Linked DNA regions of Oryzias latipes. The protein of the gene in region 1 purifies or fractionates together with the protein of each later gene. This does not show direct contact. Links are inferred from orthologs where the notes say so. Each region holds a gene or a part of one and is shown in the gene's direction. Other genes may lie near its edges. The genes, in order: cd2bp2, ddx23, snrpd1, eapp, snrpe, snrnp200 and dhx38.

Evidence for each region.
Region 2: the proteins of cd2bp2 (region 1) and ddx23 purify together in Homo sapiens (affinity purification with mass spectrometry; 6 studies listed by BioGRID and IntAct, counting the BioPlex papers as one, with this or other methods). This does not show direct contact. The link is inferred for Oryzias latipes from reciprocal best matches to the Homo sapiens genes CD2BP2 and DDX23.
Region 3: the proteins of cd2bp2 (region 1) and snrpd1 purify together in Homo sapiens (affinity purification with mass spectrometry; 3 studies listed by BioGRID and IntAct, counting the BioPlex papers as one, with this or other methods). This does not show direct contact. The link is inferred for Oryzias latipes from reciprocal best matches to the Homo sapiens genes CD2BP2 and SNRPD1.
Region 4: the proteins of cd2bp2 (region 1) and eapp purify together in Homo sapiens (affinity purification with mass spectrometry; 3 studies listed by BioGRID and IntAct, counting the BioPlex papers as one, with this or other methods). This does not show direct contact. The link is inferred for Oryzias latipes from reciprocal best matches to the Homo sapiens genes CD2BP2 and EAPP.
Region 5: the proteins of cd2bp2 (region 1) and snrpe purify together in Homo sapiens (affinity purification with mass spectrometry; 3 studies listed by BioGRID and IntAct, counting the BioPlex papers as one, with this or other methods). This does not show direct contact. The link is inferred for Oryzias latipes from reciprocal best matches to the Homo sapiens genes CD2BP2 and SNRPE.
Region 6: the proteins of cd2bp2 (region 1) and snrnp200 purify together in Homo sapiens (affinity purification with mass spectrometry; 8 studies listed by BioGRID and IntAct, counting the BioPlex papers as one, with this or other methods). This does not show direct contact. The link is inferred for Oryzias latipes from reciprocal best matches to the Homo sapiens genes CD2BP2 and SNRNP200.
Region 7: the proteins of cd2bp2 (region 1) and dhx38 purify together in Homo sapiens (affinity purification with mass spectrometry; 3 studies listed by BioGRID and IntAct, counting the BioPlex papers as one, with this or other methods). This does not show direct contact. The link is inferred for Oryzias latipes from reciprocal best matches to the Homo sapiens genes CD2BP2 and DHX38.

What each region holds. Positions count from the first base shown.
Region 1 is NC_019866.2:3,948,470-3,952,764, reverse strand, and holds the start of cd2bp2 (CD2 antigen cytoplasmic tail-binding protein 2), read left to right. Parts: upstream 1-1,495; 5' UTR 1,496-1,583; exon of another isoform or gene 1,584-1,845; 5' UTR 1,846-1,849; coding exon 1,850-1,924; intron 1,925-2,520; coding exon 2,521-2,650; intron 2,651-2,819; coding exon 2,820-2,977; intron 2,978-3,054; coding exon 3,055-3,643; intron 3,644-3,725; coding exon 3,726-3,811; intron 3,812-4,281; coding exon 4,282-4,295. UniProt on the Homo sapiens protein: Involved in pre-mRNA splicing as component of the U5 snRNP complex that is involved in spliceosome assembly.
Region 2 is NC_019865.2:19,105,989-19,109,938, forward strand, and holds the start of ddx23 (probable ATP-dependent RNA helicase DDX23), read left to right. Parts: upstream 1-1,150; 5' UTR 1,151-1,281; intron 1,282-1,956; coding exon 1,957-2,114; intron 2,115-2,204; coding exon 2,205-2,312; intron 2,313-2,478; coding exon 2,479-2,572; intron 2,573-2,840; coding exon 2,841-2,906; intron 2,907-2,985; coding exon 2,986-3,124; intron 3,125-3,212; coding exon 3,213-3,346; intron 3,347-3,950. UniProt on the Homo sapiens protein: Involved in pre-mRNA splicing and its phosphorylated form (by SRPK2) is required for spliceosomal B complex formation.
Region 3 is NC_019869.2:22,965,507-22,969,788, reverse strand, and holds snrpd1 (small nuclear ribonucleoprotein Sm D1), read left to right. Parts: upstream 1-1,482; 5' UTR 1,483-1,614; coding exon 1,615-1,628; intron 1,629-3,032; coding exon 3,033-3,109; intron 3,110-3,184; coding exon 3,185-3,376; intron 3,377-3,582; coding exon 3,583-3,659; 3' UTR 3,660-4,231; downstream 4,232-4,282. UniProt on the Homo sapiens protein: Plays a role in pre-mRNA splicing as a core component of the spliceosomal U1, U2, U4 and U5 small nuclear ribonucleoproteins (snRNPs), the building blocks of the spliceosome.
Region 4 is NC_019880.2:24,339,382-24,343,515, forward strand, and holds the start of eapp (E2F-associated phosphoprotein), read left to right. Parts: upstream 1-1,334; 5' UTR 1,335-1,464; coding exon 1,465-1,544; intron 1,545-1,857; coding exon 1,858-2,036; intron 2,037-3,344; coding exon 3,345-3,443; intron 3,444-4,134. UniProt on the Homo sapiens protein: May play an important role in the fine-tuning of both major E2F1 activities, the regulation of the cell-cycle and the induction of apoptosis. Promotes S-phase entry, and inhibits p14(ARP) expression.
Region 5 is NC_019863.2:23,629,254-23,633,221, reverse strand, and holds the start of snrpe (small nuclear ribonucleoprotein E), read left to right. Parts: upstream 1-1,168; 5' UTR 1,169-1,337; coding exon 1,338-1,391; intron 1,392-2,576; coding exon 2,577-2,603; intron 2,604-2,685; coding exon 2,686-2,748; intron 2,749-3,439; coding exon 3,440-3,518; intron 3,519-3,798; coding exon 3,799-3,854; 3' UTR 3,855-3,968. UniProt on the Homo sapiens protein: Plays a role in pre-mRNA splicing as a core component of the spliceosomal U1, U2, U4 and U5 small nuclear ribonucleoproteins (snRNPs), the building blocks of the spliceosome.
Region 6 is NC_019867.2:18,369,349-18,372,848, reverse strand, and holds part of snrnp200 (U5 small nuclear ribonucleoprotein 200 kDa helicase), read left to right. Parts: intron 1-776; coding exon 777-883; intron 884-967; coding exon 968-1,086; intron 1,087-1,176; coding exon 1,177-1,331; intron 1,332-1,405; coding exon 1,406-1,595; intron 1,596-1,689; coding exon 1,690-1,863; intron 1,864-1,987; coding exon 1,988-2,148; intron 2,149-2,236; coding exon 2,237-2,464; intron 2,465-2,554; coding exon 2,555-2,746; intron 2,747-2,830; coding exon 2,831-3,009; intron 3,010-3,087; coding exon 3,088-3,239; intron 3,240-3,349; coding exon 3,350-3,458; intron 3,459-3,500. UniProt on the Homo sapiens protein: Catalyzes the ATP-dependent unwinding of U4/U6 RNA duplices, an essential step in the assembly of a catalytically active spliceosome. Plays a role in pre-mRNA splicing as a core component of precatalytic, catalytic and postcatalytic spliceosomal complexes.
Region 7 is NC_019861.2:20,526,057-20,530,131, forward strand, and holds the start of dhx38 (pre-mRNA-splicing factor ATP-dependent RNA helicase PRP16), read left to right. Parts: upstream 1-1,275; 5' UTR 1,276-1,527; intron 1,528-3,553; 5' UTR 3,554-3,556; coding exon 3,557-3,885; intron 3,886-4,075. Other genes in the region: cytochrome b5, read right to left, coding at 1-141. UniProt on the Homo sapiens protein: Probable ATP-binding RNA helicase. Involved in pre-mRNA splicing as component of the spliceosome.

The sequences.
Region 1 (4,295 bases):
TATTTATAATACACCTTTTTGTTTTAATAAAGTAATGCAACAGAATTTTCAGAATAAAAGTATCTTTAAACCTTAACTACTAGAAGTGAACAAAGATCATCATATGAATAAATGAATAAATAAAACTTGTGAAACATGCAATACCATCAACCCCCATGCATCCAACATAACGACATTTATTTTAAACCTGGTAAGTACCTCATAATAAACAATAAAAATGTCAGCACATTTCCAAAACCACAATATTTTTCTTGGCTGCTCACATCACTGCAGATTTGACAGCGCTGACTCAGACTTACCTTTTGTCAAGCAGTAAGGGTCACTTTGGCCTCCCACGCAGTCCTTTCATTATTCAGATCGACACATTATGTTTTAATTTTTGTTGTTGTTAAATATGAAGGCGGTTGTTTGCTGTCAGGTTGATTCGACCAGCCCAGACAATGTTTTCATATTTAGCATTAAGTTACTAAAGCTGGTTCCCTCATGGGCACCGAAGGACGAGCGTTTAAATATAAATAACTCAACCCACTTCCTGGTAATAATACCCTGACACGTTATATTCTCTGTTGAGTCTGCCCGGAGCTCCTGGGAACTGAGCAGTCGCGACCTGCTTCACTGTCAAGAAGTGAGATTCTAGTGGCTGTGGTGGAGTTGACTGCCTTGGCTCCATCATTTCTCCTTTTATTTCTTTTATGATGTGATTTCCTTATGATTGCTTTTAAGGCGACTGACTCTGCTGTGGGCAGATGGAAAATAACTGAAAAGATTCAGTTCCCTGTCAAAAACAGCACCACTTTTATTGATCTAGGTTTTTTTTCCACTTTTTTTAAAGCTATAATTAGATCAGCTTCTGATTCTATATTTATAGAATAATTTCAACTCCTGGTAAGGATTTGTGTTTGTTGCCATGGAAAATAACAAAATCTTTTTTTAAATTGAGCAGCTTTCCTAATAAGGTTCCTATTGTGCATAAATCCCGTGCATTTTCCTTATGTGCTTTTAAAAACTAATACAATAAAAGATTAAAAATGCAAACGATTGAAAATGCAGATCTAATAATAATTATTTTGTTTGTGTGCTATCACAAATAAAAAAAGAGCTATTTTAAAAAATGATAAAATAAAAAGACTTAGTTATAAATTCAATAGCATTAATGGCTTTTAGGGAGAAGCATTAAATCTACAAAAATGAAACATAGCTCTATTCAAAGTGTAGTTTTCAAAATGACGTCTGAAAGAGCAAAACTGAAATCGAATATTGTTTCTCTGAATTCTCATTTCTAGATTTATTAACAGTTTTACAGAAAATTATTCCTGCTTTAACTATTCACAACTGCAGTTTTTCAAAAAGGGTGTGGTAAATAAAGACAGTTTGCTAAAAAAAACGGATAACAAAAGATGAATGAATCCTAAACAAAATGTAATTTTTGAGCCAGCCTCAACGCTTTTATCTTTGAAAATAACAGCTGTTACCCTCCACACCACATGGTGGCGGTGTTGCGTCATTCCGCCATTGTTGAATAACAATAAAATCTAGATTTCCGTCAAACAAGAAGCGAAAGCGAACGTTGACAATTTATGCAGGTTTTTTACCACGCTCTCCCTATCTGTTCTATTGTGTCATTTATACTTATTATTTGTTTATACATTATGTTGACCAACATAATGTTGAATGCCTTTCGTATATCGAGTCGCAGTTGGTGGCGAGGCGTTTACTTGTTCTGCATGCTCTCCGTGTTGTTGTTTGCTAACACTTAGCTGCAAAGCTAATAACGTGCGTGTTATTACAGTCACTTGTGGGTGTGTAGTTGCGTGGATAAAAGTGGTGCTCTGTTGTCTTCTCCAGCACCATGTCGAAGAGAAAAGTGACATTTCAGGACGGGAACGAAGAGTTTGAACTGGAAGACGACGGGCTCACGAAGAAGGTAAAGCCGGAGGATCTGTCAGGGTTTTGCTAAAAAAGTTTAGCCTTTGATTTCCTGAATTTTGATCTGGATAAACTATATAAGTAATCATTTGTTACGTATTGGTACTAATTAAGTGCCGCGTGTTTTATTTTAGTTTTGTGCTGCGTCATTCATTTCTGTGTTTTCCTCATGATGAGCTGTTGGCCTTTATTTGATGCACTATTTTCATTCCACTATTCTATTGAAATATTAGTACAGTTATTTTAAAGATGTTTACTTTATTTTGATATATTCTAAAACGGCATTTGCATAACTAATAAGTTATAACTTTTATTAGTCATTTGAAATCTTTTCCAGTAACTTATGAACTGAGATTATTTTTAGCTTAAGTGGACACTTTGTTTAATTCAAAATATGGCAGACCTGTGTAATTTTTTTATTATCTGAGAAATGATAGAATGTAAAAGAATAAAAACACCTATTTTTAGGTGAAGCATGACCTTGTTTTACTGTTTAGGTTATGCTTTTTTTGGGGGCATCGATCACAAAATAAATACATTTGTTTCGCTTTTGTTTCTAAGTGCCATCCCTATGACTTTGTTTTGTTGAAACAGAGCTGTGAGGCAGTGAGTGGACCAGGTTCCAGGTTCAAGGGCAAACATTCACTAGACAGTGATGAAGAGGACGAAGGAGGAGAATCAAAACACAGCAAATACAACATTCTAGCCAGCGATGATGTGGAGGGTAAGCCTTGTTTTTTGTTTGTTTTGAAAAATAATATAAGTGAGGGTGCTTTAATTTTAAACCAAGATGTTTAATATCTGTTTACCTGCACAAAGTAGTCCTTTATGCTAATAGTGCTTTCGTAAACTTTCCCTGGAAGCTGTTTTAATGTCAGAAAATGTGTTTTCAGGTCAAGAAGGAGCAACTATCGACTATGATGAGGGAGTATCTATTACACCTTTTAACCTAGAAGAGGAGATGGAGGAAGGTCACTTCGATTCAGAGGGAAACTATTTCATCAAAAAGGAGAAAGAGATTAAAGACAACTGGCTAGACAACATAGACTGGGTAACTAGTTTTAGGAACACATACATGGCGTATTTTCAGTCAAGAGAGAATGAATGAAACATCTTCCTTTATTACAGGTAAAAATAAGAGAGCAGCCTTTCAAAAAGAAGAAGAAAGGTCTGGGAGCCAAGCGGGTGCGCAGAGCTGGTGATGAGGATGAGGCTGAGGAGGAAAAGCGGAGGGAGGAAAAGCAAGTAGACAAGGGTGATCAGGAAGAGGAAGAGGAGGAGGAGGAGGAGGAGACACCTGTAGAGGACCCCCTGGCATCCTACACGCAGCATCAGCTCACTGAAGCTGTTGTTGAGTTATTGGAACCCGGAGAAACGGTTGCTACGGCGCTCCGTCGGTTAGGAGGCCTTGGGGGGAAGAAGGGGAAGCTGAGGAAAGAGAACGAACCCACAAAGGAGAACAAAAGAGATGCCGAGAAGCTGGATAAGCTCACAGCTCTCGCTGACAGACTGGTTGGATCAGGGATGTTTGAAATCTATCAGCACACTTATGAGAAACTAGGATTTTTGATGAAGAGGATGACGAGCAAGCAGCCAGCAGACAGGCAGAGAACCAGGTGTAGTGACGATGAGGATGAACTCGACATGTTTGGCGACAAATTTGATGAGAAAGTTGAGGAAAAATCAGAAGACAAAGAGGATGAGGAAGACAAAAGAGGTAATTTGGCGAAACATTTGAAGATTTTCGGTTGTCGTCACATGCAATGTAACTTATTTGATCGATCTTTCTGAACTTTTAGTGACGGATGAAGTGATGTGGGAGTACAAATGGGACAACAAGGAAAACACAGAGGTCTACGGCCCCTTCACCAGCCAGCAGATGCAGGTTATTCCCCTCAAATTTGTACATGAAGAATTATTCTTATGGGATTTGTGCAAAATTAAACTGTTAATCTCCCTTTTGTGTTTTAATATAAACAATTAGAAAGTGGTGTCTTTGTCTATATCTGTCAGCTAATAGTTCATTTGACGCCTAATGTACAAGAATTGTGTAATTATTGTTACTCCTATACATTGTTTTGAATAAAATCAGGATACAGAATATGTTTAAATGATATTTAAGTGAAGTCATAATTGACATTATTACAAAAAATGATAAAATCTGTGCAGCTTTAATGCAGCATTTTATGTCTACCTTTTAAAGTTTATTTATTTTTTAAGTGAATTTTAACTGCTCTCTTTCTGTAAAGATAGCAGTAAATCCCACCGTGTTTGCCAGATTATTGACTTGTAAAGTAGCTCTGACCCTCAGTTGGACCTGGTGGGGTTTTAATCTTCTTATTGTTCGTTTTCCAGGGCTGGGTGGACGA
Region 2 (3,950 bases), on another chromosome or scaffold:
TTATCTGTTTCAAACTGAAACAAATTACATTTTTGTATTTCAGTGGTTATATTTCAGATTTTTGCTTCAGATATTTTTTGATCAACTGGTGAAGGCCGAAAATAGAAATATGTGCGTGCGTAGCCAATTTGAACTCAAATTCAGCACACAGACATACATTTTGATTTCACTGAGGGGTCTGGGATCCATCATTTCTACAAAGTTTCATAAAAAGAATTTTAACTGCTAAATGTATGCATTTTTGCAAAAGGGAAAGTAACTACAAAATACATTCAGAATAATTAATTTATTTTCCATGGAGACTGCTCTTATTTGGAATAACAAATCTTTTTATATCTCAACCACAACCACACTTCTTAATTTAAACAATTTGAGTTTTAAAGTATCTATCTATCTATAGAGTGGCCTTTTCTTGTGGCCAGTCTAAGGCACACCTATGGCAGGCCATTTTAACATCAAAAGGCTAAGTTTGACTATCCGGAATGAACATTGTAGATATCAGCAACGTATTTCTGACTAGTCGTAATTACATTTTGGATAGTTGGAATTGTAATTCAAGATATCTGTAACGTAATTGTGATAGTCGAAACGACCGATAGAGATATGGCCTGCCATACACACCTGTGCAATAATCTTACTGTCTAATCAGCATCTTGATATGGCACACCTGTGAGGTGGGATGGATTGTCTTGGCAAAGGAGAAGTGCTCACTATCACAGATTTAGACAAATTTGTGAACAATATTTCAGAGAACTGGTTATTTTGTGTATGTGGAAAATGTTTCACGTCTTTGAGTTCATACCATAAAATATGGGAGCAATAACAAAAGTGTTGCGTTCATATTTTTGGTCTATCTATCTATCTATCTATCTATCTATCTATCTATCTATCTATCTATCTATCTATCTATCTATCTATCTATCTATCTATCTATCTATCTATCTATCTATCTATCTATCTATCTATCTATCTATCTATCTATCTATCTATCTATCTATCTATCTCAGATAAATGCATCGCGATCGCCACCCTGTGCCCAAAATGAAAAATAAACTGAATTTTATACAGGCATTTAGGTGGACATACATTAAACAATCTGGGTCCTCAGAAAGGTCACGAGATTGCTGGGTAGTGTAGTTGATATTTGCTTTTCATGCACGGATCACCAAAGCACGAAACTTCAACTCCCACGTACCCTTGCGAGGAAAGCTTATTTCGAGCGTTATGGAGTCTTCTTGAATCGTTTCTCTATCGCAGTACGTTTGTTGACAAGTGAAAAGGGTAAGTTAACAATCTGCTAAATATAAAGCCTCTGAGCGGGTTAAACTTATGGTTATCATAATGTGTTTTATATGATGTCGGTGGTGCAGAATTGGAGAGTTAATGTAGAAAGAAGCGGCCTTTGTAGCTAAGTCGTTTGCTAGCTAGTGTGTTACTAGCGCTAACTCGCGCTGGATATGCATAGCAGCAACATTCATTTCCCAAAGATTGAGTAAATCACGTTTCCTTGTCTTTTTTTTTTTAAAATATACATTATTTTTTAAAGTTCCTTTTGCTTTTGTATCTATATATTTTACTCGAAAGTTCAAACTCTAAGCATGTTTTTTTTCTTTTATGATTTACAATTTACATAAGAAATTGTTCTTTTTGTGGGAAAAACAATTCATTTAACTGGAACTTCGTAAAGAAATTGTTGTGAAAAAGCGAAATGTCAAGTTGTGACGCTGATGTATAAAATTTTTTTTTGGTAATGTGAATTTTAATGCAAAATTAATGAGCATTATGTCTTGTTTTCCAGTTAGTGCTTCTATCCATATATGTGAATATAATAAAACAGCACTTTATTTTGATATGTTGCAAAAACAATAAAAAAAATACAGAAACTAACTTTTATGATGTATTTCCCAGGTGATGGTTTTAAAAAAAAGTTCTGCTTACATGTTATTGTGTTTGCAGATGGCAGCTGACTCCACAGATAAGAAAGATGCTGAATCCTCAGCGAGCAAGGACAGGGAGAGGAAACGCAGCCGCTCCCGGGACCGAGATCGCAAAGCGTCTCCACTGCGCAAACGTCATCGCTCTCGCGAACGGAACCGCTCCAAATCCGCAGAAAGGTTGCTACACACGCAGAACTGTGTCAGTGTATCATGGCTAATTGGGTTCACGTTCTAATGTTTTTTTTCTGATTTGTTTTATATTTACAGAGACCGACGCATGAAGGACAGAGACAAGGACCGCGACAGGGATAAAGACAGGGACAGGGGCCGCAAGGACAGAGAGAGGGACAGCCATCGCCGGGATCGCAATAAAAGGTCTAGATATCTCGCAGAGAACACATCATTATTAATATACTGTGAGAGGAAATGGGAAAGGAACTCCCTTTGGCATTCTTGGGTTTGTAGAGACTTACGATGACCCGGAAATGGCTCTAACGGCTTGAGGTTATTTTATTTTTTTATATGTTTTTATCTTTTATAGAAGTCCGTCTCCAAAGTCAAAGGATGGCAGGATGAAGAAGGAAAAAGAGATCAAAACAGAGGAGGAAGAAGAGGAAAATAAAAAGAAAGAAAAGGTTTGATTTTTCTATCTATAAAAAAAACTTGAATAATAATCATTTACTCCACAAACAAGGCAAAGAGGGGCAGACATGGTTGTTTTTTAAGCTTCATTTTTTTAAACATATTTTTTAACCAAGATTTAGGAGTTTGAACAAAGAAAGATCCAAAAGTTTAATTTTTGATTGGGATTTCTTCTTGTTTTTTTAAGTTTCAAAAGTTTTGTGCTGATTTAGAAACAATACTTGAAGTGATGCACTGAACCTGCATTGTGTTGTGGTTCAGGTCCAACCGCTTTCGTTGGAGGAGCTTTTGGCCAAGAAGAAGGCAGAAGAAGAAGCAGAATCCAAGGTTGGATTATTCCCGAGAGAAGTGTTTCTTCTTTCTCATTTTTCTATTGTAAATTTTATTTTTTTGTTTTGTTTTTCAGCCCAAGTTTCTGTCAAGAGCAGAGAGAGAAGCCGAGGCTATAAAGCGCAGGGAGCAGCAGGTGGAGGAGAAGAAGAAATTGATGGAAGACGAGAGGAAGAAGAGGAGGGTGTTTCAGGATATGGGTAGAAAAATGTTGGGTGAGTTTCTAACTTGTTCCTCGAAAACAACCCGGCATTTTACTTTGCTAAAGAGACGTGTTAAAAAAGATGTGGCTGTCTCTCCCAGAGGACCCACAGGAGCGGGAGAGACGTGAGAGGAGGGAACGAATGGACCGAGAGAATAATGGAAATGAAGAGGACGATGAGCGCCTAAAGATGCGGGAGGAGAAAGATAAAACTAAAGAACTCCATGCCATCAAGGTTGGTTGCAATCCCAGTTGCGTCAAATGCTTTGATAAAGACAGGAAGGAAGCAGCTTTTGGGTTGTTTCTCTTAAATATACCTTATCTAGAGGCTTCGGGGTACTTTTAAGAGCAGTTTCCTGGTCTCTGGATTGTTCCATGTACCATAATTTCAGGATTATAAATCGCTATTTTTGTCACACGCTTTCAACCCTGTGGCTTATTCAATGATGCAGCTAATTTATGCATTTTTAAATGCAATTTTTCGAGCAGAAAGGGAAAGCGTGAGGCAGGGGGAATACGGTATATGTGTCGAGGAAGACGCAAGTTTAATGTAAATTCCTGCTTTGTGAATGAATAGCACAAACAGACCCTCATCATGGAAAATGCAAGAAGAAATGCATATGATGCAGCTTTCAAGTTAAAAGCGATCATTAAAAGCAGTGTGAAAAAAATCCACCATCACCAACGGGTTTGGAAAAGGTGGTCTGCTGCATGATGGAGAGGACAGCGCAAGCTCAGGAGAGAATTTGCCTCAGGATGAGAGTGACACTGACAGTGACAACGAAGGAGAGATGGAGAGAGAGTGTGGCGAAGAATCTCTGACGCTATTCCAATCAACA
Region 3 (4,282 bases), on another chromosome or scaffold:
TAACAGTCCTTCAACGTTGTAGATCTTCACATCTTAATACTCACCCACAATGTTTACAGGGGGCTGAATCACTGCCTTTAGGTAGGAGGCGATTTGGTGCTGGAATGAGAGGAATATTAATTTAAGGGAGTTAAGTTGGTGTTGAATTTCTTCTACTGTAGTAAATGGGTGGTGGTTTGAGTTTGAAGCCAGATGTGTTGCCCATGATTTCATTCAATGAACTGTACTGGTGTGTGTTTTTCTTTTTTATTATACAGCATTTATTATCCCTGAATGGGAAGTTTGTATTTTTGTTTTTTTGCAGTCGTGCTACACTCATCAGGCAGCATGCAGAGGACATGTTTGGGGGTTTTTCAGCATTTTCACGTTTGGACTGATGGTGAATGTTGTGGTGGCATTTGTTCTCCACACTGTTTGATTAAATCCTCCCTCCACAAATACCTTCTTTTTTCTTTTTTTTTAAATACAACAATTTGCACTTTCTTTAGGTTTCACTTGATACATTCCCAGCTTGTCTCAATAAATAAAAAGTATTGCTGTTTGGCCAAAACTCTAAATGAAATATCAATGCAAAGTTTACTCTCAATAAAAAGATCTGAAAGTTTGCTCCTTTGTTCTTTTTGTCTTCTTTCCTAGATCAATGGTTCCCAGCTTTTTGTGTATTTTGTAAGGATGTAAAGGATACAGTTACGTATTGAAAATTGATCAAGTACTGGAAGTAACAGCTCTATCAATCGATAACCTTAAATACGAGCAAGTTGGTGAAAAGGTAAAAAAATGAAATCAATCAGGAAGTAAATCGTTATTTTTTTTTCTTTTCTGTCTTTACTGTCTTTGCCTTTTTATGTACATGTGATGCCAACATGAAGACACCCAATCACAAAGCCTACTTCTACCAAATCGGGTCAATTATGATTGGCTGAATGTGAACCACAGTGTGCTGTGTTCTCTTTTTTCACGGTACTGCAAACAATGCCTGAATAAATTCCTATGACAATTTTTTGATCATAAATAAAAACAGAACAGTATTCGTAGTTGAAGCAGTTCTCTCAGAGATGTTTTGTTTTTGTTGCTTCAAAAAAAGGGCCAATAAGAACAAAATTTAAGAAAAAAGTTTCTCTGTTAAATGGCATTTCCATTAATAATTTTAAATGCCAAATACATAAATAGAAATCTATGAATAAATGACTGGTACTTTATTTTTTAGCACCATACAATGGCATCAGGGTGCCAAAGGGCTTACATTAACATAACATTTAAAATTGAGTAGATTGAGAGGGGAAAAAAACAGCATTAGATGGAAAAAACAATAAAACACATAGAAAAACAGTTAATAATTAAAGTAATTGGTAAGTAATTAAATAAAGACAGTAAAGGAATATTAGATGCCACCAACCCAATGAGTAAGAGAAAACAACTCATTTTTGTCTTTCCACTGACTGTTCTTCATCTCACCACCAGGCGGCGGTAAGACAACATTGACGGTGAGCGGTGGCCTCTTTCTGACGTCATATCAACGCGACACAAACGTTGGTGGTACATCAGCGGCCTGTGATTTCACTCGATCGCTGTAATTTTTCTCGTCGGTGGAGGATCTTTTCTCTACTGTTCGTCATGAAACTAGTCAGGTAATTTGCTGCATGGTCTGTAGATGTGTCGACTGGTTTAAGATAGGATGATGAAATAAAGGCTGTGTGGCCGGATGGGTTCAGATAGACAAATGAACTGTGTGGAGAGGCGGGAACAAGGCTGCTGGGTTTTCATTCAAAAAATACATATAAACATATCATTAGAGCTAACTATTTAATCAAGGATTAAACTGCTTGTTTTAGCAATATTTGTAAAAGATCGAGGCTGATTCGTTATCATTTATGGTTTTGCAAATTTCCCCCCGCATTATTAAAACTATCGTACTAAAGGAGGTTAATTTATTAGATGTTGTTTCCGTTTCCTCAAAGTGCTTTATCATTATTTAATTGTATTTATTTTTGGATGTTTTTAATTTCCACAACTTAAGAGACAAATGTTTTGTTTTCAGTTTACACAACAGTATCAATCCACCGAAGCTAACAAGCTAAGAGCTAACACGAGTTTTGTTTAGATACTAAAAAAAAAATACATTCAAAAAGGGGGGGGGGGGTATTTTGTACAATTTTATACGTTAAATCTTATGTGTTGTACAAAAATGCTGTCTAATGTTTGTGAGAGAGAGACGTCTTCTTTGTGCAAAGCAGTAAGTTGGCTAATTGATCATTCAAGATGGATCTAGTCATTAAAGTCTTCTACAGCAATGGTGCCAACCTTCTAATAAAGCGGTTTTTTATTGTATTTAATTTATCAAAATATTTTTATGATTAACAGAAAACGTTACCAACAATTATTTCTAACAAAAAGTCCGCATAAATGTTCATACAAAACATTAAAAAATGTGAATCTGAAAATGGAGTTTAAAGTCTTCCATTTTATCCAGTATGTATGGGATCAAATGCAGTTTTTGTATGAAATGGTGCATATCACAGTATGTTTATTTCCCTCGTTTTTTTTATGTTTGACATTTTGTTTATTTCATTTGTATTTTGTGAATATGAACAGACATAAAAATGATGCTTTTAATTTGTTAAAGTCCACCAATCAATTATTGATTAACATTTTCCTGTTCTAGTTCTGCTTAAAGGTCAGCATGTTATTAGTGTATTTTTTTTCATGGTATTGTCACTTTAAAACATTGACGTTTAAATGAAAGTGCCTTTTGGATTCAGAAAACCAAAATGAATGTGCCAATTCTAGGTTTTTGAAAAATACACTTTTGAGTAAGAATAAAACACGTGAACCTTTTTTGTTTCATGTGGGATGACAATAAATCATGTTTTTTTTTTTTTTGCGAAAATGATTCTTTCCCTGAAGTGTAGATACATTATACTGGTACTGCTTTTTGATTACAAAATGGTATGTTTGGTAAAGTATAGTGCAGTAAAACAACTCTTAAAGGTTAAGTAAATGTAAATGTATGCTACTCTCCCGTGTCCACACAGGTTTTTGATGAAGCTCAGTCATGAGACCGTTACCATTGAACTGAAGAATGGCACTCAGGTCCATGGCACCATCACAGGTGAGAGCAAACACTTTAGAGACGAATAAATGAACTAAATCATTTTTAAAATCCTCTTCTTCTTCTTTTTAATAGGTGTTGATGTAAGCATGAACACACACTTGAAGGCGGTGAAAATGACCCTAAAGAACAGGGAACCCACTCAGCTGGAGTCCCTGAGTATCCGAGGCAACAACATTCGCTACTTCATCCTGCCAGACAGTCTTCCACTGGACACCTTGCTGGTCGACATTGAACCAAAGATCAAGTCCAAGAAGAGAGAAGCAGGTGGGAGATTTGGGCACATTCTTACCTGGAAAATTGTATTAAGTTGAGAAGGATTTTTCTGCGATAAGAAATCCCTCAACAGTATTTATATTCATCATGGGTGTGTAAATCTGCTGTTTATTTCTTTGAGAAATGTTTTGTTCTGCTGATTAAAACTTTTTTTTTTCACGAGTATGGTGAAAGAATCTGGCCTTTCTTGTTCTCAGTTGCTGGTAGGGGGCGAGGCAGAGGACGGGGCCGTGGCAGAGGAAGAGGACGAGGGCGAGGTGGACCACGGAGATGATTTCAGAGCCCCAACTGTTTGTACAGCTTTTAATTGTACTGCGCGGTGGACGCAAAGTGAATCTAAGTGTAAGTTTAGGGTTGTTTTTCTTTTTTATACTCGTGGGTTGTTTAAGACCGCGAGGGGGTTTTGGATGCTGTTGATTCATAATTTGTACCATCTTGAATAAAATGTCTGAGCAGCATTTAAACTGGGTAAAAATGTCATCTGTTTTTTGCTTTTTTTATACCTTCTTGTGTCTTTGGCAAAGTTGGCTGAAAATGTAGCTGTTCTACTGGCATCAAAGAAGAATAAATCTTTTTTTTTCTCTTTGTAATATTTGGCTCTTTAATTGGCTTGATTAGTTTTCACTTTTCCTATAAGTGATTGAAATAGGTTGATAAGGTTTTTTTTCACAGTTTCTGGAACTGATTACATCTCAACTTATTGTTGATGATGTTCCAGATACTGCTGATCCACCTCTGGTGGATGGTGTGGATGTTGATGACTGCAAATGTAAAAACCTTTTGTCCAATACTTAGATGGGCTGGCTCTTAACCCACATAAGTTTCCAATAAAATAAAGAAAATCCACTTTGAATTTTGACATCATTGTAAAAACTTATGTTTGTTATTGAAGATCTC
Region 4 (4,134 bases), on another chromosome or scaffold:
CATAACTTTAATTATGAAAGGTGATCAAATAGATTTCCTCAGGCGAGGTAAAGTTAGAGGAGCGATCACTGCATCAGTCTGGATCTGGATGTTTTGCCCCATTTGATATCTAGGGGGACCTAGAGGAGCACAACATAACAGTAAAGTCTTTTTGCCCTGACTTTAAATTAACACCAAAAACACCAAAAGAGTGTCTCCATAAAAAATAACATTTATTTACAAATTAATAAATACCGATCGACAATAACTAAAAGGTGAAGCAAAAAGGCTTCAGGGTGAACCAAACCCAAAATAACAAACAAAACCCCACCTGACTGAGATCTGAAATCTTACCTGTGACAAAACAATAACCTCCGTGGAGACAGGTTGCAGCAAAGCTCCCTTCTGGCAGGCTGGGGGTCCACATGCTGCTTGTAAAGGCTGCCTCCATCAGCTTGGGTCCAAAAGGAAGCCACACCCTTTCCAGCACCAAAGTAATCAGACAGACACACAAAAACCCACAAAACACAGAAGTCCCACTATGATACAAAAAAGACAGAACAAAAAGAACAAAACCGAATACGGCCACAGCCATAACACTGGAGGTCCAACAGGATCTTTGCCCTCTCATTCTCTACCACTTCAGAGGTGTTTCCCATTTTGACTTTATGGTTTCCAGTTCATATTCTGCACACATGTTCCTGTATATTATTCCAGCCACTTGATTGTGGCGCTCCATGTATGCTTTCCCTGCCAGTATCTTACACCCTGCAGTTATGTGCTGGATTGTTTCAGGCGCCTCTTTGCACAGCCTACACCTTGGGTCTTGTCTGGTGTGGTAGATCTGAGCCTCTATTGCTCTGGTACTCAGGGCTTGTTCCTGAGCTGCCAGGATGAGCGCTTATGGCTGAATAATCTTTTCACCTCTATTGTCCTTTTCAAGTTGCATGGGTTATCCTTAAACTAATCTTGAAAAACTTTTTATTTAATGCTTTTTGAAGTCTATAGTTATCATTATATTTTGGGGATACATAAAAATATATAATGTTTGAAAATTTTCTTAATTATTTTCATGTTATACCTACTGTTAAATCCAAACAATAATTAATTTCTTCTTTTTTATTAATTTTACTTTTCTAATCTTTTAAATTTAGCTTCAGCATTTTAACCTGACCGATTTTACTATTAAATTGTGGCTTTAGCAATAAATAAATTTATTTTTATTTGTTTCTTTTGTTTTATATTCCACCTACTTTTATTTTTTAGTTCTGAAATGAATTTCCTTTTAGATAGTTGAAGTAAAAATGATTTTAAAATGTTTCTCCACAAGAGGGCGGTAACGAGTTTTCCAAGTGCTTTTACCACCATAGAAGAAGAACCGATGCCGAAGAAGAAGACATACGTCAGACTGGACAGAGTGTAGACCAGTTTCGGGATAAATCTTTCCCGTTGTTTTGTCTTCTGAGAAAGTTTAAAATTGTTAAAATGAGCAAGTTTAACGGACCGGTGGAAAGTGAGGCTTATGAAATCGATGAGCCAAGCGACGAAGAACGCGCTTCGAGCAGGTATGATGTAAACAGACGGTTAGCTTCATGCTAGCAGCACGAGGCTAACAACAGCTGAAAGCAACAAAAACGGATAAAAACATTACATGTTTATGATTTGGTTTTTAATGATGTTTTTGATTTTAAAGGTAGAATATATGCAGGATAAACCAGTTCCTAGACGTTTAATTTTAAAGTTTGAATCAGGTTTTAGACCATGATAAAAGAGACGCAATATGTCGCATTTTGGCGCTGTGTTTTGCTTTGCTTCATGATCGTCATCATGATGAAGGTTTCCAAAAGTCCAGTTTTGAACAGAAACGCCTGTCTTCAGCTCCGAGGACGAGCTGGACGTGCTGCTGAACGGGACGCCGGACCAGAAGAAGAAGCTGATCCGGGAGTACCTGACCGGGGAGAGCGAGTCCTCCAGCGGGGATGAGTTTGAGAAGGAGATGGAGGCAGAGCTGAGCTCCACCCTCAGGACCATGGAAGGAAGCTGGGCCCCTGCAGCCGGTAACCCGTAACACGCACAGACACACACAGGGCCCTTCCAAACACAGAAACACCAAGCTTTTGTACAAAAGAGAGCTGCTTGTTGTTTTGAACCACTTTACCACATTGGAGCCACCAGCCCCAACCTCAGCCGCCTCCCAGCATCATCATCAGCAGCAGCAGCAGCAGCATAACTGTCCGTCTCTCCTTTCAAAACCATCTCATTCTGCTTCTAGAGCCTGATCTGGGGGGTATTCCAGAAAGCAGGTTATGCTAGTTACCACGGTAAGTTTGAGGCTAAGGAAGTTGATACCCTCAGCTTTCTGTTTTAGAAATGGAGGTATGCTTCAGGGTAGGTCAAGTTGCCATAGTAACTCATGCTCTGAACATAACCTGGTCTGGAGCAGGTTTAGTTGAAGCTTAGTTTGTTTTCAGAGAGGTGAAGCAGCATGGCGTGTCCATTTGAAGATGATTTAGTGGATGAAGAAGCTCAGATAATACTTTTTCCACCATTGTTCTCCACGCGTTTCCATGGTTACTCCGTAAATCGGCGATCTATTGAGAATGTCTTTATGTACCTGCTGTGCACGAGCATTAACCCAGGGTTACCAAGTCGAGCGCAATTACGCCAACTCATACCCGGTCTTTTGGAACCGACATACCCAGAGTAAGCGATTTCAGGCGGATTTCAGCCAGAGTTCAGGGTTAAAGTCAGGCTAGTTTAAACATGCTTCCTGGAACACCCCACAGGTCTTCTGATGTTTCCATTCCTCCATTCAGTGCAGCTTTAAAAGCTGTTCTTCTCTTTAGAAGCTGCAGACTTTAAGGTCTGAGCTGTAATGAACAGTCAGATCAGTGACCAGCATGGGAGGATTTGTAGATCCAGACAGGTTTCATGCAAAACTCAAAAACAATAGTTTTGACCTGATACCACTCATGTTTGGCTTCTTTACTTTGTTTTAATTAATAAATCATACAAACATTAGAAAAAAGATATATTTTAGAAATACTGTTCAATTTAAAATAGAAAAATGCTCTTTTAATACAATGTACTTGCTATAGTAGAAAGTCAAGTCAAACCAGCCGGAGTCCACAACCTCTCATCCACCAGAACCTTCAAATCCTCCACAATTCCAGGAGAAATTGAATGATTAGTTTGTGTTAAATAAAAGTCCCAAAACAAACCAATAGTTTGTAAATTTTGAATGTTTTTCTGCAAAGGCAGCTCATCAGCTGTTCTCTGGAGGGGTTGGTCTGCTTCTGTATTAATCTGACTGCAGACGAAGGTTTCAGGAGGGATTGCATGTGAAGGTTTCCTCTCTCCTGCAGCAGAAACTGGAGGAGGCAGCGAGGTTGTCGGTTCCTCCAACCCTCAGATGTACGACAGCGTTTACTTTGACTCTGATTCAGAGGAGGAGGACACAGCTGGTAAGACGCACACTGACGCGGCGTGAGCACGGGCATGCTAGGTTCACACCGCCCACGGGAATCCGCGTCTACGCCACTACTTCCAACGAGTCCAAGTCTATGTAAACGCTTGTAAATGCGCATTTCCGGCTTCTTCGGTCAAAACTCTTTTGTTCGTGCATCTCTGCGCGAGTCTTGATGTCTGTTTTTGTACAAAACCTGCACCCACTGAACGCACTTTGAAAGTTAAACCAGTTGAACTTTGACCAATCAGAGAGTCAGATTTGGTAGTGACGCATGCGTAGCATCCTTTTTAATTCACCAAATGGGCTAACTGGTTGAAAGGTGATCAAGAAGGAGAAATTCAAAATGTGCAGTTTGTGCCCTGCCAGAACTACATGACACACCAAGTCTTTCATAAACCGGAATCGAGCCGTGAAAGAAAACGCCTGGAGATTTGCACCGCTTTGAATTTTCCTCCCAAGCCTCCTCCAACTGGAGGTGGTGGACGTGTTGGCGCCCGTCCACTGTGAACACCATATGACAACGCATGTCCAAGAATGTGTGACACGTCTGGTGTGAACGTAATTGGGAGTGGGAATTGGACTAGGAATATTAATGTTAGCGGTTGACCGTTGTACCACCATGCCAGAAATTCTGTTCTAGTACATACATAGAATAATTCTCAGGGTTTGAATGCACGTCATGAAAT
Region 5 (3,968 bases), on another chromosome or scaffold:
AATTTAATTTAATTTAACACACATGTAATTAGAAAGTCACATACATGTTTTTATGTTTTATATTCTTAATTTAGCTCACAAAAATCTTAGGTGGGGAAAAAACACTCCTCAATGGAGCTCATGTTCCTGCTAAATTCATAGGTCTGCATCTGCAGGTGAAAATATATTTCACATTTAATCAAAAACAAAAGTTATGCGATAAATTCTAAACCTTTTTGAAGAAAGAACACTACTGAACAAGAAGAATCATTTGTACCTCTCACCTTCTTGACTAAATACTTTTATAGACAACTTCTTTAAATCGACTGCACTTTTTAACAATGTTTATTGTAGAACTCAGATTAGAACTTTAAGTTTATTTATAAGGAAAGTGAAGTGAAACCTTTTACTAATGTTCATCTTGGGCTCGAGTTGTTTCTTATGTTTTTGTTTTTCTCTGCTGCCCTCTTTTGGATAAAATAGGTCACTGCTGTGACAGTAGAACCTGGTCAAGATAAATGTTTAGGAAATAGTTTACAAAATTAAACTCTAATATTGAAAACAAAATTACTTGTAAGAAAATAATAATAATAAAAAGTTTGAACAATTATGGAAAAATTACAAAAATTATCAACAATTTTCACTTATTGAATTTGTGTTGCAAAAACAACTACAGTAATTACATATCTGTATGCTTGTTAATATTATGTGTAATAGGAAAATAAAAAAATAAAAATCTAAATGATAAATTAGACTATATACATCCAACAATTGAACATCTATGAAGTAAATGACGCTATATCCAAACTAGTTGATGTATCAATATTTAAACCTTCTTTTCTGCTATATGAAAGCTGTTCAAATATTATTGGTACTTGTGTTAATCACTGAAATTAATCCAAGCAAAAATAAACGATTACTGAAAATGTACAAGAAAAAAGTCGAAGCAAAACCTTTGTATTTTTCCCTTCAGGATTAAGAAATAAATATGTACTGAAACAGACGTTGACAAAAAATATGGTGACTCAAAAACAACTTAATTATTAAATTTAGCCTTTTAATTGGTACCAGATGTGTTTTCATACTTTTTATAAGTCATAATTAGTCTGCATATTTGAAGGATTTCACACTGAACGTAATTTTTGACCAAATATCAAATTGTGCAGTATTGACATCCTGCCTGTAGGTGGCGCTTGTTCGGTGAAGGGAAACCTTTCAGTGCAGGAACCGGATGCGGAAAGAAACCCGCCATTAAGGCAACTTGGCATCGTGAGCTGAACGTTGAAATCATTCAATTGTAAAAGGCAATATTTCTTTAACGAAATACTTCTTGCGTGTCTTTTTTGCGTGTGAAGAGAATGGCTTACCGAGGACAAGGACAGAAGGTGCAGAAGGTTATGGTGCAGCCCATTGTATCCTTTCTTTGCTGTTAGCATTTGTTAGCAGCGATGCTAATCGGTTATTTCTCGTGTTTGCTCATCGGTAAACTGTATTCCTTTTTTTTCTAGGTACTACATGACTTTCTAAATACATTGGAATGCATATTTACTGACTTTTTTTAATTTCAGTATTGAAGCACGTATTTTTCTGTTTATCGATCAAATTTAAGCACGACGTTGTACTTCGAAAGAAATTGAATTTGAAACAAACATTTTTAGCATTTTCTAAACGTACATAGCAATATGATGGGTTATCAATTTACTATTATACATTTTACAAAAATACGTTTGTTTAATTGGAAAGAAGAAAACAATGACACGTTTACCTTTGGCAGAGTTTTCTTTTAGTGAAAAAAGAAGTCAACAATCGAGATGTTGCACTTAACGACTTAAACTAATAATATTAGTTAAATGCACTACTTTGGTCTGATAATTAAATGTTCTTTTGATTTGTTGTAACAATTGGTCATATTTTGTAGTTTTTTATTTGGTTTTTAACTTAACTCAAGTTTGTCCCTGTGAGTGTGTGAGACCTGTTTTCTTATTTTTCTTGATTATGAAGTGACATGTCATCTATAAAAAAATAAAAAAGATGTTAAAGAAATTAAGAATACCATTAAAATTTGACTCGTAAAAAAACCCCTAACAAAGTCAATAAATAAGAGAAAATCTAATGCCAGAACCCGTTTTAAATCCATTTTTAAGCGTGTCTTCAGTTGTTTTGACATGGTTGCCCTACAGTTTACGTTATAACGTGGATACATCAGCAGAAGTTAAATAGTAAACTGTAAAACTCTAGAACAATTGCAGAATTTCTGTAAGCTGGTAAAAGGCATAACTAACGTTAAAAGACCGCCGATAATACTTCAAAAATAGATCAAAATGATCTGAGTGGGACTTTCGAGCAAATTCTGCGTCATCCATAGCTTTATTTCATCATTTCGGTCATGTAATTGGTTTGTGAAGTCCTTTTTCACTGGCTTACATTGAAATGTATGACATTCACTGGTATTTAACAGGATCTCAGCTCTCCGGTTAAAGTGCAAAACAGTTTGTGTCACTCTACTGAAATTGAAATGACTAGTTCATGTTATTTGAAATATCTTCTGTAACATTGAAACGGTTTAGACATGTCATTTCCTTGACTCTGTTCATCAGAACCTCATTTTCAGATACCTTCAGAACGTGAGTATTGAAGGCTCTTGCAGGTTCACCTTTTGTCTCGGTGGTGACTGAAATACTGATTCGTGTCATCTTTGCTTTGCAGCGCTCACGAATCCAGGTGTGGCTTTATGAGCAGGTGAACATGCGGATAGAAGGCTGCATCATTGTAAGATTTCTCTTTATTTTACTTTCACAGTGTTTGTTAACTTTCCAAATGTGTGCCACAGTTACTTTAAAACTGGTATAGACTGTAAAAACGATCGACGATTCCAGGTTTTCCTTCTCCGCTCCAAAAGGGGGAACAAGAGAAAGTTTGAGAACCACTGACCTAGCATTTTAGTTATTTTTTTTATTGGAGCTTGGTAAAAGTTCTTAATGGCTGGTGTTAGATCCACAATAATCAACTTAAAACTGTTTTGCAGAAATTTTTTCTACGACTATTTTGGGGCTCTGTTTTAGCTGCTTTTGCAGCGGGCACCTTTCTTACCAGTAGAGCAGAACTCTGCAGCTGATTTAAAAATGTATTTGAAAACGGCAACAAAAAAAACACACACTGGTTCAGACTCACAATACAGTAGGTAAATGATCAATGAGAACAGCATAATGACAAACTAAGCATGAATTAGGAGACCAATTGAAATTGCCGGTCCTACACTCTTGACACTTTAATCTATTTTCAGAACATTCTCGGTGATCTTTTAACTATGATTATGCTGTTTTTAGCCGAAATAAAAACAAACAACCTGTGCCGTTTTCTTGGGGGGGAAAAACCTTGAGAGCCTGAATTTAAATGAATCCAAACAGCTTCAGTTATGAAAGTAGTTAATTGATTATTTCCTTTTTATTTTATTTTCCAGGGCTTTGATGAGTACATGAACCTGGTTCTAGATGATGCTGAGGAGGTCCACATGAAGACCAAGAACAGAAAGCCACTGGGTAAGACTCTTTAGCTTGTTTAATTTGTTAAATTTCAGTTACTATTTTTTGATCTTAGCAGTTATTAGAACAGCTTTATTTATTTATTTTACAATGAAAAATTTGAATATTCTTTGTATTTATTAACATGTACTGTTAGCTTTTGTTTCTAGAACTGCTGTAACAAAATATTTGTTTGAGGAAAACATAGAAATATTTTTCCAGTCAGTATTTATTTGTTATACACTCAGGAATGTCAGTTTTTAAAATGTCAAGATAAATTTCTTTCCTTGTTTCACAGGTCGGGTTATGTTAAAGGGCGACAACATCACCTTGCTGCAGAGTGTCTCTACCTAGTGACACCAGTGACGACTGCAGATCCTGTCTTTTTTTTCTGTTAACTGCTTACGATTTTATGCATAAATGTGAGTTTCTCTACAACCTTTGAGAATAAATGGCTTTGTTTTTTTC
Region 6 (3,500 bases), on another chromosome or scaffold:
AACTATGTAAAATACCGGATATGACCATAAAAGAAGAAATGGCGAGTTCTTTTAAGATCTTTTAAGCGTGCTCTTATTATTGTTATTATTATTAAGTGCCTGATGCTCATAATTTTCTAAATATGTGCAGCCAGTGCTTTATTCTTGGCTGCATGTACCCAGAAGAAGGGTTAGGATTAGGTTAATACGTGCTAACAACATTTGGCCGTGGATGCAGTTAAAATCCTTTTGGTCAATGCTGCAATGTGCATCTTGGCTGCACATAGGTATGTGGGCATAACGTCAGCCTTTATTTTGACTGGACATGATTGAAAACACAAATTCACTTAATTATTTGCGCGGTTTCTCAGGACTGCTCAGTGCAGTGCATTTCCGCATTCAATAGCTGCCTCCGCCATCTCACACACCGTTCTGAAGCTGCTCCTCTGCTTGGAGACACGAAGCTACGAGTCCGGCTGCTCTGCTCACAGATGTGGCTCGCTCGCGCGGAGCAGCCTCTGGAGCACCACACCGTGTGTGCATGACATAAAAGCCAAAGCCGTAGTGACCCAGGATCGACAAAAACTGTTTATATGCACCACGATCGGATCAACATTCGACATAACACGCCTACCTCGATCAGAAGGACATTTTGATCCAAATGAGTCTGTTCAAAGTGTTTACTTGACGCATTTTTATTCTGATCAGGCGTTTATTCCGATTACTTTTGTCTATGTAACTGCAGCTATTGTTGCACATTAGTTTGCCTGAAGAATAATGCGGTTCTCTTTCTTCAGAGTGCTGGACGGTTGATGCGCGCCATATTTGAGATCGTGCTAAACCGAGGCTGGGCTCAGCTCACAGATAAGACCATGAACCTGTGCAAGATGATCGACAAGAGAATGCAAGTGTCTTTTATGTTACTAAAGAAATACATTTTCTATCTTGAAGCTGGATTCTCATGCTTTATGTTCTGATTTTCCTACAGGTGGCAGTCGATGTCTCCTTTGCGTCAGTTCAAAAAGCTGCCAGAGGAAGTGGTCAAGAAGATTGAGAAGAAAAACTTCCCTTTTGAGCGTCTGTACGATCTCAACCACAATGAGATTGGTGAGTTTCTCGCTTCATGAAGCATTTTCATTCTATGCTGTCCTTTGCCTGCAGGACACTGAAAAAGCTGTTGTCTTCCTCTTTGTGTAGGCGAACTGATTCGAATGCCAAAGATGGGGAAGACCATTCACAAATACGTCCATCAGTTCCCAAGACTGGACCTCGCCGTTCATCTCCAGCCCATCACTCGCTCCACTCTGAAAGTGGAGCTCACCATCACGCCTGACTTCCAGTGGGACGATAAGGTCTGTGGCTGTAACTCGGGGACGTTTCCCTTCTGAAAAGCTTTTCCTGTTTCTAAGCTTCCCTTTCTGCTTAGATTCACGGATCATCTGAAGCTTTCTGGATCCTGGTGGAGGACGTTGACAGTGAAGTGATCCTCCACCACGAGTACTTCCTCCTTAAAGCCAAGTACGCCCAGGACGAACATCTGGTGACGTTCTTTGTCCCCGTGTTTGAGCCTCTGCCTCCTCAGTATTTCATCCGCATGGTTTCAGACCGATGGCTCTGTAAGTAGCTCAAAGAGAACTGCAATGCAGAATTCCTCTGCTCTCCACTGTACAACTTCGCCTGACACCTTTCTCGTTTCTGTTTTTCTCTCAGCCTGTGAGACTCAGCTCCCAGTGTCCTTCCGCCACCTCATCTTGCCAGAGAAGTACCCCCCACCCACTGAGCTGCTGGACCTGCAGCCGCTGCCCGTCACTGCTCTCAGGAACTCTGCCTTTGAAGCTCTCTACCAGAACAAGTTTCCGTTCTTCAATCCAATTCAGACACAAGGTATTTGGAAAAACGAAACCCAGACAAAAAGATGGAATATCCCATTTTCAGACTGATCTGTTTGACTCAAACCAGAGCTCTGTATTCACATCTTTTTCTTTTCTTACTCCTTTCTCCAAATCAGTCTTCAATGCCGTGTACAACAGTGACGATAATGTGTTTGTGGGAGCTCCCACTGGGAGTGGAAAGACCATCTGTGCGGAGTTTGCCATTCTCAGAATGCTGCTGCACAACACAGAAGGCCGCTGTGTGTATATCACTCCCATGGAAGCACTGGCTGAGCAGGTACAATGTCATGGAAGAACTCTGTGAAGCCCACATCCATTTGGAGAATCGGACCGCTTGTAGCTTCATGATGGCTTCTCTCTTTCAGGTCTTTGTTGACTGGCATCAGAAGTTCCAGGACATCCTGAACAAGAAGGTGGTGCTCCTAACTGGGGAGACCAGCACCGATCTGAAGCTTTTGGGGAAAGGGGACATCATCATCAGCACCCCAGACAAATGGGACATCTTGTCTCGTCGCTGGAAACAGAGAAAGAATGTGCAGAACGTCAGCCTTTTCATTGTGGATGAAGCACACCTTATTGGTGGAGAAAATGGAGTAAGAAGTGTTTTAGTCTCTGTAAACAGCAGGTGTTTGCATCACTGTATGTAGATTGTCTAATCGATGGGACTTTGGTTGTGTTTTTAGCCGGTGTTGGAGGTTATCTGCTCCAGAATGAGGTACATCTCCTCACAAATCGAGCGTCCCATCCGCATCGTCGCCCTCAGCTCGTCTCTGTCCAATGCCAAAGACATGGCTCACTGGCTGGGCTGCAGCACCACGGCCACCTTTAATTTCCACCCAAATGTCAGACCTGTGCCTCTGGAGCTGCACATTCAGGTTCATTAACATGTCTACCTGTAAATGATCAAAGCCACAAATACAGGATCCTTTTGTTAACATGGACCTTCTCTGTTCCTGCAGGGTTTCAACGTCAGTCATACTCAGACACGGCTGCTTTCCATGGCCAAGCCAGTCTATCATGCCATCATGAAGCACTCCCCATCCAAGCCGGCGGTGGTGTTCGTACCGTCACGCCGACAGACCCGCCTCACTGCCATTGACATCCTCACTTTCTGCGCCGCCGACGTGGTTCCTCAGAGGTTGGTCACCAGATGTGACTCCACTCTCTGGGTTTGGAATCAAATCTTTACACAAAGGTGAAACCTGTTTCTTTGAAGGTTCTTGCATTGCACCGAGAAAGACCTGGTACCATTCCTGGAGAAAATAAATGATCCCACTCTGAAAGAGACTCTGGCCAATGGTGTGGGATATCTGCATGAAGGCCTGTCAGCAACTGAACGCAAAATAGTGGAACAGCTGTTCAACTCGGGTATGATTCATTCCTGGACTTCATTGTTGATACGAGAAGAATTTTTCATCAACATGCAAAGCATTAGAAAAATAAATTTCTGAATGATTGATGGTAATTCTTTCATCCAGGTGCTGTCCAGGTGGTTGTTTCTTCTCGTTCTCTCTGCTGGGGAATTAGCATCTCTGCACATTTGGTCATTGTCATGGACACCCAGTACTACAATGGAAAAATCCATGCGTAAGGATCAGGCTGTCCCAACCTCTATAGCGGCTCAGAAAT
Region 7 (4,075 bases), on another chromosome or scaffold:
GATTACCAGCCATGTGTCATTGATCATGTTGTGTACTCTTATCTCCTCTAATGTAAAGTATTTTAAGGCATTGTCGACGGTTTCACAATGGTCACTATTTGTGCTTTTGCCGCTCGACTTTAAGTTAGCCTCCTCGACCATTCTAGCGAGATACAAAAAAAACAAAACAAAAAGTCGTCTAGGTGTTGGCTAATGTTAGCCTATGTTAGCCAGGTATGGATTTAACGACTGCGACTTCAACGGTGTTCTAAAAAAGACGCAACTGAAGGGTAGCTACTTAATGTTTTCACGGGTACAGCGAATAAGAACGTAGAAAGGCAGAAGTAGACAGCGCCACCGTGCTGTTTATTACGAAATCATGAAACAAACCGGTACACTAGAAGGGACGTAGAACTGACCAATCATGTGTGTTCTAGTTTGCCAGCAGACCCGTGGTCATCAACCAATGAGTGGGCGAGATTTTGAGTGGTGGCCAATCAGATCAGCCACCTTGTGATCATGAGACCAAAGAAATGCGCAAAGGTTGTCAAGTGTGTGCTGTCATTGCGCATGAGAACATGACTTGCGTTTTTCGTGGCGTGAATAATGTTGTTAAAAAATCTGGGTAACATTTTATGGTTTGTAGTTTTTAATATATATTTTAAAAAAGGTCTCCTCCATCCATTCGAAAATTTGCAAAACACAAAGTAGGCAGCAATACATCCAGTTTCCATATTTTCCTGCAAGATAACCTTGGGCCAGATTTATTTTTTCTTTTGGGGCAAAATCATTTTTATTTTAACTTCATAGAGTAAGTTTCTTTGAAAAAAATACACTGACAAGTCACTACTTAAAGGATATAAAGTAAACTTTGGCTAAAAGACATACTTAGAGCAAGTGAACCAAAACTGTAGTAGTGTGGTGAAAGAAAACATAAGCCACAGATGCTGGTAAACAAGTGTAAACCTTAGTACGCCACACAAATAAATAACTCGTCCCCCTATATTTAAAAATAAGGGACAAAATGACCCTTTTAAGAATAACTTCTGTGTGCAGGAGACTTTTAGGGAACAAAAAAATATAAGTCCACGTCTGTGGTGTTTAATATATAGCTTTTTCTACTAGCTTTTTTCTATGTATCTGCCGTTGCTGATTATGTGAACAAACGGTAAGCCGAATATTCGTGTCCTGAAGACAAAAAAGAGATTTTAAGTTGTTTTAACAAATTTTTATTTTATTTTATTTTTTAGAATGTCCTGTGGGTGGCAGCATAGACACTGCAGGCATGTGTAGAAGAAGAACAGAGTGCATTGTGGGATTGAAATGGCTGTTTTGGCGTCTGTAAACATTTGCGTCGTATATACGAATTTACGTTCTACTTGTTGTCTCTGTCTTCAGAAGTGAACAACATTGTCGTCTGATCTTGAAGTTCGTATGAAGGTTTTTTTCATTTGGCTCCCAGAAATAGAAGTGGCGGTGTTCTATCTTCTGGTGCTCTATGCTAACAAGTAGCTTTTGGGAAAGCTAACGGTAGCTGTTCGGCCCGAGGTAGGTCCAATTCATTTACAATAAACTGCAGTGAATAACAGTAAAAATCAAATATTTATAATCGCTTTTTGAGCAGGTCAATGTGCGTAAATTCACCATACTCAGTAGACTATGTTCAAAATCAGGTTGATCAAGGTGATTTTTCCATCAACACTTTTAGTTTGAATTATTTTCATGCGAGGAGGAGGAGGAGGAGGAGGGGGGGGGGTGGCAAGGGTTTTTGTTTCCATTTTTATTCAGGCTAAAAAAAAAGGTTTGATTAACCGAATAAAGCCAAAGTAATCTATGAATCGCAAATTAATTGTAAACATTGAGAAATTGTATAATTGCAAAGCAATATACCATGGTAAATGCGCCTTTACAAGCACAGCAGGTTTGCCTATTCCTTTTTTTCTTCTTTTTTGCAAGTCAGTCATCTAACTGAAGACTATAATTGATTTTAATTTTATATTTTCCTAGTTAACAATTTACTCTGTCGGTCAACAGCTTTAGAACATCTAAAATCCACACGATTTTAAAGAATTCAGGGCGGTAATTTCCAAATAATAACATGAAATGGTTACAAGTTCTTGCCAGCTAATAATAATAAATATTCATATTTAGCCATAATAATTATGGCTAAACTAAGAAAGTACAGATTTCTGAAATACACAAAATGTCTACTACCATGAAATAGATTAACAGTTTAAAGCTAGATGTTCATCAAGACTTAAAAATAATTTGTACAGGTGTTCCTACTTTTTTTGATAACGTGCAACATTCTCAATCTTCATGAGAGCAGGGAGTAGTTAAACAGTGTTTTACATCTAAAAGTATTTTTTTGTTTTCAAAAGAAAAAGCAGAAAAAAAACGACAATGGAAGAGACACAGCCCATCAAAACACCAAAAAGTGTAGGTATTTTGTACAGACAAATAAAGAAAGTCAAGGCGTCAGTGAGTTTTATTGTATAAAAATATAATTGTATTCATAATCAAAACGTGCACAGAAAGTTGGGAAAACTCTTGAAAGGAAAAAGTCTGGAAGATCCAAAGTCGCCGCTGAATTGGTGAACTCATTTTGTGGGACTTAACAGGCAGGTTAAGGTTCAACAGCTTTTCTACATAAGGTATTGATCAATTAATAAAATGTTGAAATATTTGCTTTGTGTCACAGAATCTTTGTCAAAAAGGTGAAGCAAAGGCTCCACAGTCTGTGATACCAACTGTCAAACATAGAGGAGGATATGTGAGGGTATGGATCTGTTTTTCTGGGCCCAGGCTCAGTGGGTTGCACAGAGAGGAACCTAAAACCAACAGAAACTACGGCATTCTAAGCTCACTACTTTTATTTTGTTGTATACATTTAGTTGGTCAAGGGCTAATCCTTCAACAACATAATGACTCCAAATAAAAATCCAAGCATTGCCAGAACTACCTTAGAATAAATAACAAAATGGTAATCTTTGAAACATGGAGATCCCTGCACATCCTTCAAACTTGTGGATGGAAAAGGAAAAGCAAAGTGGCAAGCATTTATGTGAACCCCTGCAGGAGGCCTGGAGATGCGTTTTTAAAGAGTTTCTGTTGCAGAAAGAATGCCTGACTCTGTTTAGTGGCTATATCTATAAAAAGTGGCTACTTTAAATAATTAAAAGTTACATTTTAGCTTGTAAATTCGCTCCAGGATTTCCACTTTCTAATTTCTAATATTCTTAAGATTGCGAGGATAACAGACATAATAATAATAATAATAATAATACATTTTATTTCAAGCGCCTTTATAATACTGATTACTTTCCAATAAAAACTGGAAACATGGGAGTGTTCTAAAACTTTTCACTGGTTGTGGAACTACTTCGTTTTTTATTTTTTTATTTTTTACAAATTAGAAGTTTCAAGCAAATACTTGTTAAGTTTTGCATCTATTCATAGTAAACACATTATTTGTAGTTTCAGTGAACTTATAAATGTTAAGTGCTCTCATGACCAGCATATCAAAAGTGCTGTTGTTATTTGTTATGCTCAACTTGTCTGTGTTTGCTGTCAGAGGATGGAGGAGGAGGATGTTTCCATGCATAGGCTGGAAGGGACCAGTCCAGAAGCTCAGGTTGGCGGTCTGATTGTAAAGAAAAAGAGTACTGCTGCAGAACCTCATGTTTTTCGAGCACCTACACCACGTACATCTTTGCTGGGCTTGGATCTACTGGCTGCCCAAAAGAGAAAGGAGCGGGAGACCAAAGAACAGGAACAATTCAACTGCGATGAAAGAGACAGAAAGAAGTCAAAGATTTCTTCCTACAAGGACTGGGAAGAGGGTAAAAGTGACTCCGGCTCTGATGAAGAGGACGACGAAGAGAATAAAAGTGCCAAGAAAGAACGGTAATTTGAAAAAATTAGATCTTTATGAAATTAATGCCCAATGTTTGGCTCCCCAAATGATTTATACTAGGTTGTTTTTATTATGAAAATGAACAGTGTCTATACTATATTCTGGATGTTATAACATTTCTCTTCAATTTTAAGTATACATAATCATTTTACCCATGCAACATTTTTATTAAAAACAAAA